3 separate regions of the Mus musculus genome follow, and all the other regions are reported to be linked to region 1. Evidence: microRNA targets listed by miRTarBase, many of them from high-throughput screens and not tested one by one. Region 1 holds a microRNA gene; each other region holds the end of a gene's coding sequence. Distances are between the middles of the regions.
Evidence for each region. Region 1 holds the annotated microRNA mmu-miR-370-3p (GCCUGCUGGGGUGGAACCUGGU, at 2,764-2,785, opposite strand). A microRNA usually pairs through its seed, bases 2 to 8, with sites in the 3' UTR of a target mRNA and lowers its output. Matches are read on the target gene's strand: a 7mer-m8 pairs with bases 2 to 8, a 7mer-A1 pairs with bases 2 to 7 and ends in A, and an 8mer does both.

Region 2: the mRNA of Dnmt3a is a reported target of mmu-miR-370-3p. Seed matches in the 3' UTR shown: 7mer-m8 at 3,143-3,149, 7mer-m8 at 902-908 and 7mer-m8 at 178-184.
Region 3: the mRNA of Slc5a3 is a reported target of mmu-miR-370-3p. The part of its 3' UTR that is shown has no 7-base or 8-base seed match.

Annotation. Positions count from the first base shown.
Region 1 is chr12:109,617,022-109,621,089 of GRCm38, reverse strand. It overlaps Mir370 (microRNA 370), which reads right to left and starts at 2,832; the gene lies at 2,754-2,832. It overlaps Rian (RNA imprinted and accumulated in nucleus), which reads right to left. Exons shown (of 21, transcript NR_028261.1): 3 at 3,741-3,879; 4 at 690-777.
Region 2 is chr12:3,907,463-3,911,524 of GRCm38, reverse strand. Dnmt3a (DNA methyltransferase 3A) reads right to left here. Exons shown (of 23, transcript NM_007872.4): 23 at 1-3,919. The coding sequence ends at 3,778. Among named protein-coding and RNA genes, the nearest start is that of Gm31623, 15 kb to the right of the region's middle.
Region 3 is chr16:92,078,668-92,082,729 of GRCm38, forward strand. Slc5a3 (solute carrier family 5 (inositol transporters), member 3) reads left to right here. Exons shown (of 2, transcript NM_017391.3): 2 at 1-4,062. The coding sequence ends at 546. The region is part of intron 1 of Mrps6 (mitochondrial ribosomal protein S6); the gene reads left to right. Among named protein-coding and RNA genes, the nearest start is that of Mrps6, 22 kb to the left of the region's middle.

The DNA.
Region 1 (4,068 bases):
TTTGTTTTATAAGGGCATCAAATTTTAAATATATCATGAAGATGCATAAACACCCCACCCTGAGAACGATAAAAGAATATGCAACACTTAACATATGACACACATATGCCGTATGGGTGTATGCAAATAAGCATATGCATACTTCTTTTGGGTGGTGTGCTCACTCTGTGCAGGTGCGTATGTGTACATACATATTAAGGCCAGAGATCAAACTTGAAAGTTGTCCCCTAGGCACTATCTGTGACATACGGTATCATGGGCCTAGAACACACCATGTAGGGTAATCTGTCTGGCCAGAGAACCTAAGAGGTCTTCCTGTCTCTACCTCCTTAGGACTGAGACTCTAAGAATGCCACCGTGACCAGTTTTTTATATATGGCCACCAGATCAACTGCAGGCCCATTTGCTTATAAGGCAAGCACATGAACAATTGAACTATCACCCAAGCATAAGAAATTCCCTTTTCCTTTGATATTTTCCCCATACGAAATAGCTTACTATATTACTTCTAATTCGGTAATTATTATGCCTAATTGGATTAATTACCCTTGGTTCATGACAGTCTCCACACTGGCTAGGGCTTTGGCCATCTTTGGTTTTATTTACAAACTCAATCATGTTTAATAATGCAATAAACACCCATCAGCCAACTACCCAAGTTCAAAATAACAAAACTAGCCATTACTCACATTGTTGGCCCATGGCTCATTGCCCACAGCGGTCACTGCCAAGGTCTCTACCAGCAGGCTAGTCTCCATTCACATTAGGGCCTCCATTCTGTAGAACACAAGGCAGATATTTAAAAAGGACGAAGTAGAAACACTTGCTTCAAAGCCATTAGTGAGCAGGGCAGATTATCTTAATCTAGGATCATCATACAGGCCCAAGCACATATTCATTCATTCATAAATTCATTCATTCATTTATCATTTCTTATCATTTTAATGAATGTGTACAAATTCACTATCCAAAAAACCCCCAACCCCAAAGCAGTTCTTTTTTATAAACATTGATCCTATATGTCCTGACCACAAAGGAAACAACAGACCCTTTTTGAAACAGACCCAGTACAGAGTAAGAGACACAGCCATCTTTGATTACAGATACAATCTCATCATCATTGCCTATTTGGTCTTCCCAGTGTTTTCATACATTTTAAATACAATAAACACAGATGAGCCTAGTTCGAATCTCACCACATCTTAGTACATAGAGGTAAAATAGAAGTTTTTTAAGGCTACAATTATACATCAACGAATAAAAATTAACCTTTTGGTCAAAAAAACATTTTTAGTGGCCCACTCCTGGGATCCTGTCACCTGGCCATTATTTACTGACTCATTTAATTCCTCTTTTAATGCAGGCCAAATTCAGTTGAAGTAGGCAAACAGAGCAGTACCCCTGACAGTTCTGCTCACGCGGGGGCCATCTTACTCACGGCCTACGGCTGCGGTTGGTCTCTCAATAACTTCACACAAACTCAGAGTGGAAGGGCAGTTGGTAGAGGTCAGTGGGTGTGAGGAACAGGAGTGGGTCAGACAATACAACTCGCATTCGCAAGAATATTAAGTTCTCAGTGGCTAATGTACGTACAGAGTGGCAATTCTAGTCAACAGTGACGTATATTGAGAATTAACACGGAGGGTCCAAGATATTCTCCTCCCACATAAGTATTACAGAGTGGGGTACTAGGCACAAAACATCAGAGCTTAAATACATACATTTTTATTTGTCAATTAAACCAACAGGACAGAAAAAAAATACCTCTTCGGGTCTACCTATGAGGCTCTTTAATTTTATGCACAATTAATTTAAATCATGCATAATTTCTTTTATACATAACTTTATACCATTCCTTATTACTTCCTGAAAGGAGACCTCCCAGGCCTGCTACCTATCCAAAGTGGCCACATGAAGGCACAGAATGGCAGGAAATGGCTGCTGGACCCGTTTTCTCATAAATGTCAGGTTAGCAGACCTGGGTCACTCTTTGACTTTATTTGAAAGTCTCACGGCTGATGGATCCAAGGCATGAGGACAGTCTTTCTTGTTCTTTTCTAATTTTTAATATAACATGAGCAGCCCAATTCCCCTCTGAGTTCTCTTTCCATGTTAGCCCCTTGTACTGAGTTAACACATCTCATGGTTCACAGCCCACACTTGTCCTCAGGCCTTATCCGGGTCTTATTAATTAGTATTCGAACCACTTAGGACTAACCACGCATGGCCCCCACCCTTTTGACCCCACTGTCCTGCTGGCCACACAAATGTTTTTAACAATGGCTTGTCCCTCCTGCTTTTATACACATAGCATGGAGACAGATGTGTGTTCTTGAAATAGGCTTTTCAAGAGCCCATGGTCTGCTGAAGATATACAGCTTGACATGTCCATTTGACATTTGGTGACAGGACTCGAAACCAGGTCCTCACACACATTGGCTACTTCTACGTCTGGTCACAGTCATGAGGCTAGCATAGCCTACAAAAATACCCACACAATGATACCCACCCCCAAACTCAGCCTTTAATTCTAACTTGCTGGGTGACATCTACATCAATTGAGAAGCCTCTCTGTGCTCTGTTCCCATCTACCAAACATCCACGCCTCTGATCCCTTAGCAAAGATAATCCTTCTCCTCAAAGCCAGGCAGAAGCCCTCCCACAGCAACTCTAAGCCCCTTTCACAAATCTTTGCCCCCCGCAGTAGCAGCAGCAGCAGCAGCAGCAGCAGCACCCGAGCGATGGTGACAGACAGACAGACAAACCAGGTTCCACCCCAGCAGGCACTCATGAGCTGTGTAACTGCAGAGACGTGACCTGGTCTCTCCGTCTTAGGCCCCGGACTCGTAGGATTTGTCGACTGAGAACAGCAGCACCTTCCTGGGTCCAACAGGCTGAAGGACTACCGACCGACCGACCGACCAACCGATGGACCAGGCAGACTGAAGGATAGACTGACAAACTGACTGATCCTCAAAGCCACACCCACCCTTTGCATACCCACACAGCTCCACCCACCCCACACACCTATCTGCTCAACAGGTCTCCTAAAAATTAGACAGTCAAACTCGCTCTATGCTCTGAACTCTATGCCTGACCTTGGCCGAGACATTACCGGGATCTGTTCCTTTGTGGTCAAGATATCATAGTTTTAAAAAAAAAAAAAAAAAAAAAAAAAAGGATCCACCCACAGGGACTCACTTCTGAAAACTGAACCACATTGCAGGGAGTCTGTGCTGTAGGATCACTGGTTTTACTTTGGTTTTCTTTAGAGGTCTCTTGAAGACCTGGCTGGCCTGAGGATGGTTTTGAATTCATGACCCTTCCTGCTTCCACCTCTTGAGTGCAAGGTTCAGAGCACCCAGTATTATACAGTGCTGGGGGTTTCGAACCCAATGCTTCCTGAACGCCAAGCAAGCACTCTCAACTGAGTTACACTTCCCCCAGCCCCATACTGCCATGAAACTCTCCCAGTGCATATTGCTCCCCTCTAAGTGGAAGGAGGCTCCCAGTAACCAAGCCAAGCCAGTTAGTTCTCTGAGCTGCTCCCAGGACGGGGGGGGGGGGGGGGGGTGGGGGGGCCCTCAGGTGTCAAGCGAACGAGCCCCCTGTGGGCCCCCAGCCACAGGCATTGTTTGTCCTGCACCCAGCACGGACTGCTCAGCACACGGTTTCGTTCCCACAACAGTCCTGTCAATTAGTCATAATTAGCCAATAGTTACTGAATGCAGACACTGTACCGAGCACCGTGGAGCCCGCTGTGTGCAGCCCGCTGTGCACACCACACACACACACACACGGACATTCCTCGGGTGTGGAGACGACAGGGCAGCAGACATCCTCCCTCCCATTCTGAAGTGGGCGTTACGGGTCTAGATGCTGAGAACAAGGGAAAATCCTGTAAGGACGACCAGCCCTGTGGGGAAAGCCAGGAAAAAAGAACACTCAGACTGAATAAATGCAAGGTATGGGCTGACAGAGTAACATTCAGGATTGGGGGGCCCCTGGGCTGTGGCAGAGCAGCTATCCAGGGAGACAGCCTCACTCAGGTGGTGAGATTTGGATGAA
Region 2 (4,062 bases), 110 Mb from region 1:
CCGACTGCAGGCTCCCGGGCTTACTGGGTCCTATGAGAGGAATTAGCACCAGCTTGGGACCCCGCTGGTATGTGTGCCTCCTCAGGAGGCCTTAGTTCTGTGACCCTGGTGCTAGCACCAGCTACCTCCCCTGGGCAAGGGCCACAGATCTTCACAAATCTTCACACTTACACGGCACCTGCTGAGAGGTGGCTGTCACCCAGTCCCCAGCACCTTAGTTTCTAGGGAAAACAAGCCTAGTCTTTGGAAAGGAAAGCCCACAGGGAACCTCCCATGACTGAATCCAGCTTCAGCCCCACCTGCAGTGAGCTAGTTCCTAGATGCACTGCAAACTCCCCACAACCTCCCCTCAGCTACCCCAGCATCCCAGCAGCTCTCCTCAGAGGTGACCCTAGAAGCCGCACTTGGGGTAGAGACGGATGAATAGCCAGATTGGCACAGTCCCAAAGACACCCCTCCCCAAAAGATATTGGGGGCTAACTCGCCTGGTGCCCTCACACTATGGTAAGACTAAGCCTACAGATGGGGCTGGAAGGAAAGCTAGAGAAGGCCACCCGATGCCCGCCCCATGAGGAGTCCATCAGGGACCGTGTCAGGTCAGTACTGGTCAGCCACCTGGAAGCCTCTACTCAGTCCCTTGGGAACTCCTCCTCCTGAGCCCTCACACTAACCCCAGGCACGGGAGCACCAGGCCCAGCTGAGGCGGCACTAGGCTCCTGGGAAAGGCTAGCTTCGTCACATATGCGGTGGGCAGAGATGGCCTTTGAAGACAGTCCTGACAGGAGCTGGGAAGACCTTGCCATTGCTAGAGGGGGAGGGAGCACCTTGGACTGCCTAAAGCAGCCTTCCTCCCCTCCAGTCCTCCTGCATGGTGCTGGTGGACTCCAGGTCAGAATGGAGCCCTGCTGGAGCAAGGGAGGACGTTACATTTAGTACAGGGACTCCAAGAGGGCAAGCATCCCCCTCTCCTGGATGCTCCAGCCCCATAGTCATACCTGCCATGGCAGGGGAAACTAGCTGCGATCTTAAAACTCTATCCAGAGAAAATGAGCAGAGGTGGGCAGGACTACACAGCCCAAGCAGTGTACCAAGCCACCAGCCAAGCTTAGTCCCGAGCAGTGAGCAAGGGGCCAAAGCCTCTGACTAGTTTTAGCACTAATTACTGATTTGCTTTACTCCAAAAGTGAGGTTCACTGTCCCATTTTAATTTTTTTTTTAACATTTTATTTTCCCAATGGAAGCCCCATGGCCAAGAGAGATTTCAGTTCGACTTTGGTTGGGGAGAATAGGTAGGGGCTGAGGGCTGACTTGACTGGTGCCGAGAGTTGCAGGTCAGTAACCACAGGCTGCTAACAGAAGCTGACATCACCAGAGGCAAAGGGAATACAACACAGACCTGCTAGAGGAAGCACCTGCTTGGATCAAACCTCCTCCTTTTCCTGACTTCAGCACCTAGCAACTTCTGGGATCGAGTCTACCTGTCATCAGGGCAACAGATGTACGAGAGAGAGCTGTGTAGCCGACTCCATCGTCCTGATCCTGCAGAGAAGTGTGCTGGGGGCTCCCTGGTGTGCATCCAGACAGAAATAGATTCCTGTGCATGTGTTAGACTGATATACTGTTTGTGGGGCTGTCTGCGGGAAGGACCCAGGCTCAACACAGAGCCCACTCCCTCCAACCCCCTCTGTGTATATTTCTTATACATGACCCTATCTATGTATTTATATAGGGCCTATCATAGGCCCCATCTTTCTAGGGATGCGGTCTTGGGACCATGTGCTTGACAGCACACCTCCCAGTCTCTGCTGGTCCCAGGAGGTGCCGTCCCCCCTCCCATTATAAAATATATATCTCTATATGCCACATATCTACACTCCATCCATCCAGGCAAGCCCTCACCCTGGGGCCAAGCACACCTTCCCTTCCCGCTGCCAATGCCAGGCTGCCTGCCCTGGCTGGGGAGCGGAACAAAGTGCGAGCACATGGCCCAGGTGAAGCTGACTCAAGTGAGAGCACAGCCATCAGAGCAAACACTAGAAAAGAAACACACGCCACTCCAACCACACACACAAGGAGGGAGGCTGCCCCGGCCTCCCTCCAGCCCTGACACACCGGACTCACGAGGAAGGGAAGAAGAAGAGAAGAGTGACTGGCCCGGAGGGTGGGCCTCAAACTCCCTGGCTGCCTAGCTTGTTGCCCAGTGGCTCACCTGGCCTGAGGGGTGGGAGCCAGGGCACCAGAGCCACTGGTCCTTAAAAAAGCACCTGCCACCCCCCCGCACCTTGGTTTGAAACCTAAAGGGAAGGGTGTTGGGTTTTTGTTTTCTGAAAGAAAATCTTAAAACAATTATAGCCAGAACCATAAGAATAATTATAATAAAGGTGTCATCAGCCTCCCAAGTATGAAACTGCAGTCTTTAGAGATGACCAAAAACATCACATTCCAGGACCGGAGCTGCCATGTGCAGAGGGGATGGTGGGGCCTTATAAAAGAACACACAAAAGGCAACTTAGACAGAAAGCACCAGTACATTTTGTATGTTTTTTTATTTGCTCCAGGTGGGGTTAATGGCGGGTCACTTTCCCTCACTCTGGAATATTTCTGATCCCACAAGGGGCCTTCAACGTGGCTGACGAATTCAAAATCAGGGACAATGTTTTCTCAAGCCATTTTTCTGAGGCAGTCATTTTAGATTCATATTCTAAGGTTATTGCACGCGAGTCTGGATAAATTCCACACTCAGCTTCCCCAGGGTCCGACCACCTCAGCTGAGCCCCTTTTTGGCAGGTGAAGCTAGGCATGGGGCAGGGGTGGGGGGTGATATGGGTCATCCTTCAGTTTGTTAAAACCCCCTCCAGCTGCTCCCCTCTCCCCATCCTGGGCTGAAACCCTTTGCACAGAGGGCCAGGCGGAAGCTGATGTCTTTGCTCATCTCGCTGTTTTGAAAGCACCATTATGAAGTCGGGATGTACAGTAGTTAACAGTACCTTTTATATATATATATCTCATATCTATCATATATATATAAACTGTAAACAAGAGGTAACAGCGGCTTCTAGAAACTGGTTTTCTTCAAGGTTTCCTGTGTGGTAGGCACCTGAAATACTGTAGAAAAGTGTCTGGTGTGGTGTTCTCTCAGCGCCCTGCTGCTAGTTGGGTTCTGTTTTGCATGACCAGGAATGGTGCTGTTGAGACTGCTCGGGGGGTGGGAGAGGAGACTCTGCCTCCGAGGGTCTCTATTCTCTTCCTGTTTGTGCTCCTATCTGATCAGGCTAGAGACAACCAAAGAGATATATAGAAAAGGAAAAAAAAAAAAACCAATATTTTAAGTTTTTATAGAATTTTCCCTCTCTCCCTTTCCTCTCCAAGGCATTTCTACTTTTTGTTGTTACTGATTTTGCTGCAATAACTCTCTTGTTTCAGTCACAGCAAGAAACAAAAACCCAAACAAACAGAAAACCCCTCTGAAAAAGAGTAGAAAACAAAAAGTTCGCCTCCTAGGACCGGAGGGGAAGAAGGGGAGGGGCCTATTTTGCTTTTTAGATAGGACTGAAGGTTAACATTGAAAACTCAGGAGATGATGTCCAACCCTTTTGCAAGGCCAAGCCCTCCGGCGTTTTCCTCCTCTGTGGTTTGCTTTAAATTCCTTTTTCTCTTCTGGGTGCTGAACTTTTCTCCGTCCTCTCGTTCTTGGTGTTTTATTGTTTTGTTTTGTTTTTTGTTTGTTTGTTTGTTTAACTTTTTTATCATCACTACTTCAGTTTGCCCCCATGTCCCTTACACACAAGCAAAATATTCCTTCAGCGGAGCGAAGAGGTGGCGGATGACCGGCACGCTCCACGATCGGCCCAGCAGTCTCTGCCTCGCCAAGCGGCTCATGTTGGAGACGTCTGTGTAGTGGACGGGGAAGCCAAACACCCTGTGGGAGGAAGGCAGGGAAGGGAGTGAGTGCGGGTGTGATGGCGGATGTTAGTTTACTCTGAATTCCTGTCACAGGCTGCCATGTGCCAGCCTCTCTGTGGGTATAAAGATAGGTAGTATAATCCCAGCTTTGAGATTCAC
Region 3 (4,062 bases), not on the chromosome of region 1:
AAGGATCAGATTCGTACCACTACCTTTTGGTCAAAGAAGACCCTGGTGACAAAGGAGAGCTGTTCTCAGAAAGACGAACCATACAAAATGCAAGAGAAGAGCATCCTGCAGTGCAGCGAGAATAGCGAAGTCATCAGCCATACTATTCCCAACGGGAAGTCTGAAGACAGCATTAAGGGACTGCAACCTGAAGACGTTAATCTGCTGGTGACATGCCGAGAAGAGGGCAACCCAGTGGCTTCCATGGGTCATTCAGAGGCAGAAACACCAGTAGATGCTTATTCCAATGGGCAAGCAGCTCTCATGGGTGAGAGAGAAAGAGAGAAGGAAACGGAAAATAGAAGCCGGTATTGGAAGTTCATAGACTGGTTTTGTGGCTTTAAGAGTAAAAGCCTTAGCAAGAGGAGCCTCAGAGACTTGATGGATGAGGAGGCTGTGTGTTTACAAATGTTAGAAGAGACTCCACAAGTTAAAGTGATCCTAAACATTGGACTTTTTGCTGTGTGTTCACTTGGAATTTTCATGTTTGTTTATTTCTCCTTATGAACTTAAGGATACGGTGAGACACTTAAGAGAAAATACTGGTCTTTGAAAACAAAAATGTAACTGTCGCACCTCCCAGGCATTGTTTACGCTGAAGGTTTTAGCCAAATTCTCCTTAGCAGAAAAATCATCTATTTGTAAGACTGTTTTCCCAGAGATGGGGAAAACGTAAATCTTCAACTTACATGAAACAGAGCAGAGTGAATTGTGCAAAAAATGTGGTTTGAGAGTTTTCTGTACCAAAGTAAGGAGAGACCAATTATTCTCATGTATCACTTAGGACAGAACATGTGCTAAGGTATCGTGAGTAAAGTGTCTTGTCTACATTGCCAAGGCTTGGTAGACCCTCTGCTGAAGGAAATTTGCTCATTTATAAAGGCTTTTGTCTCTAATCCCTGCTACAGTTAAAAAATGAATTTGTAGAGACTGTATGATTAGTTAGGTCCTGAAAGTCTAATGTGTTGTGTACTAATGACTTGAGGACAACTTTGTGTGTGTGGCTGGTCATTAGCACGAGTCTACGGATTCTGCTTGCCAAGAGAAAGGAAGAGCGTTTTCCTGCAGGTCCTTTTGTACTACAGCTTGTATGGAAATGTCAGCAGCCGTGGGGAGCAGACTTGGTTTCCATCTCTTCCCTCTCTTTTTTCCTACTTAAACTGAATCATACTCCACGGACTACCAAGTCTGTCTATAATTTTGCTTTTAATTAGGGGGGAAGTAAATACTGCTGATGATCCCCACATTTATTGATCAGATAAGAATATTTTAAAATATAGTTTGAGAATTATCAGCTACCAGGCAATGACTGATATTTAATGCTAAGTAGATGATGAATCATTTTTTTTTTTACCTGCTTTCTAGCTGCTTCTTTGTCATTTTACTAACATTCCTTATTTGCCAAATGCCTTCCCAAATGGGTCCTATTGTAAGATGTTCAGTATCGTGGAGGAGCGTCAACACTACTTGTGTGCCGGGGTTGGCACTTGCTTAGTTTGTGAAACGTTGTTAAGTTTTAGAGGAACAGTCTAATTCCATTCCTTATAAGTTCTCTTCCTTATTTCTGTCTTTTTTGAAGGCTTGCTGTGTATATACATCTATGCTGTTATAGTCAGTTAGCACATGAGTATGTTTCATTACGAAGTGGCTGTCAGTCATAGAACACTCGGCAGTCTTACTGTTGATGAGAGTAGATTTTCTGTAGGATGGCCAGCATGTTCCTCGGTTGCCACGAACAGGGACTTTAGGGTTTAGCAGTGTGCTTGTGGGGGATATCACACTTGTGGAGGACTCTTGATATTGACCTTAGCTTAGCTTGGTATCCAACTGCCACATTCATGGGCAGCAGATCTTTTTTTGTAGGCTGTTTCTCCTTATTGAAGATAGTGCAGGAGGAATTCGAGAAAAATCCTAGGGATGGTGTGTGTAGTCCTATGTCTTCATCACTGCCTCTTCTCCATTAGAGATGAAGAAAGCGAATTCTGTATCTACTTTCTTTAGGCCGATAACTTTTTAAATTGCATGACTTTTATTAAGCCTTGTACTTAAGGAGAATTACTACTTTTATAGATCATTTTATAGCTTTTCAATCAAACTCAGTCCTGATAACCAAAACAAAACAATACCTTTCCTTAGTTTTTTTTTTTTTTTTTTTTTTTTTTTTGTAATGCATCGACTTGTTTGCAGGCGATGGACGTCATGAGTCCAGTGCTGTTAGGGATCACAGATTGTCACACACAGTCTTCCTATCTTCTGGAGGGTTTCTGAGGGACTGAGTCTGGAAATTGAAAAAGTCATCTCTGTATGAATAGCATGCATTTCTGAAGAACTTAGAGTGCCTTGTACAATTTTTCTCTTAGTTTCTATTTTGAGATTTATAACCTGGAGCCAAGTAGATAGGGGCCATCCTTTTCTTGAGTGGAAAGTTGAGTTAGTTCTCCAAATGTGGACTCAGAGTTTGCCCATGTGTTTGGATGGATAGCTGTGCTTTGTGGCTGTCTTCTCTTAAACAATTCTTTTTGAGATAATCTTTCAGTCTTTGAGAAAGTTACAGAATATTGGGTTGTCCAAATTTGGATTAAGTTGTAGGAATTAACATTTCCTTTGAACACATTCCTATGCAAGTTAGCAGACATTGACACATTGGCCAAGTGGGCTTCCTCATCCTTGTATGTATAGCATAGTGAATAGGAGGTATTATGTGAATTTCTCCCTTTTATTTAGTGCTGAGTCCTAATAATTTGGAATGCTAGAGTCCTCTTACCCCCTTTTTGTTGACTTATAGTAAGATACATAATGTATACCGTAATGTGTCTATCTGTGTGTAAATAGCTGTAGGTCAAGTGTAGAGAGCTAATAAATAAGGAATAGCTTAGCATATGCATTAGATGTGTATTCTTACCACTGCGAACATCACTTTATTTAGTCTGAAGTTTCTAAAGCTTGTCTTCCTTACTGCTTTCCAGTAATAGATACTGTGCTTGAATACGTGTGTGATGGCAGCCTCATTTCAAGGACCAGCCTTTATAGGTCATTACAGTGGTTGTTCTTGGAATGATACCTGATTTTAGACTAGCAAAATGTTCATCCTTCACATGCATATGAGTCCTAAAAGATGGCATGGATCTGTAGACATTTACACATGTGTTTTTGTGTTTGTCCAAGCTAAGCTTTGGAATTGACCAAGATTACATTGACTAAAATAGTGATTAAAAGTAAACGTGAGGTAGGTGAGGCTGTTGGTCTACAGAGGTAGGTGAGAAGTAGTTATCCTCTGAGTGATAGCCAAGCTTCTAGATGATTGTCTTCCCAGGCAGTTCTTGCTTGGATCCAGAAAGGGCTTTTTAATTTAATTTAATTTTATTTTATTTTTAATTTTGCTTTGCGCCAGTGGCTGGGACAATGATTGATGGCTCTTCTGTGGGGTTTCTCTTTCTCTCAGAAGATTGTGTCCTGCCATCCTAAGAGTAAACAACTGGGCTGCTGTTGTTCTAGGAAGTGATTGCTTTTGTTTATAGAGAAGCATCAGGCAGTAGCAGCTGCCTTTGACTCAGATTGAGCGATCTCATCCCCAGGGCTTCCTTTCACCAGCTCGAAGGATCCACTCTTGCACAGAGAGGCTGACCTGGGTAGTCTATCCGTGACTCTTACGGGTGTCACCATAAGTGGTCAGAGATGCTTTGTGAAACTTCCCATTTAAGAACAGGTCAGTGGAGTTATGAGTTCTCTGAGTGAGGTTAAAAGCCTTCTTCAGGGTCGCTATGAATCCTTCAATTCCTACATCAGGAGTCTTTTTTATTCCGGGTGCATGGTCTTCTCATCTCCAAATACCATTTAGTGTAATCTACAGATGAGCCTTATTTTCCACCACATAAGTATGCTTTGTCATTACTCAGTAAAGAATTAGGTCTAATTTGGCTGATATACTAAGATGCCTTCCTCCCTCATGCCTCACTCCCTTGCACAGCTCCTTTTGGAGGTGTGAGTGGAAAGGGACCACATAGGTTTCTATTGTAAACATCT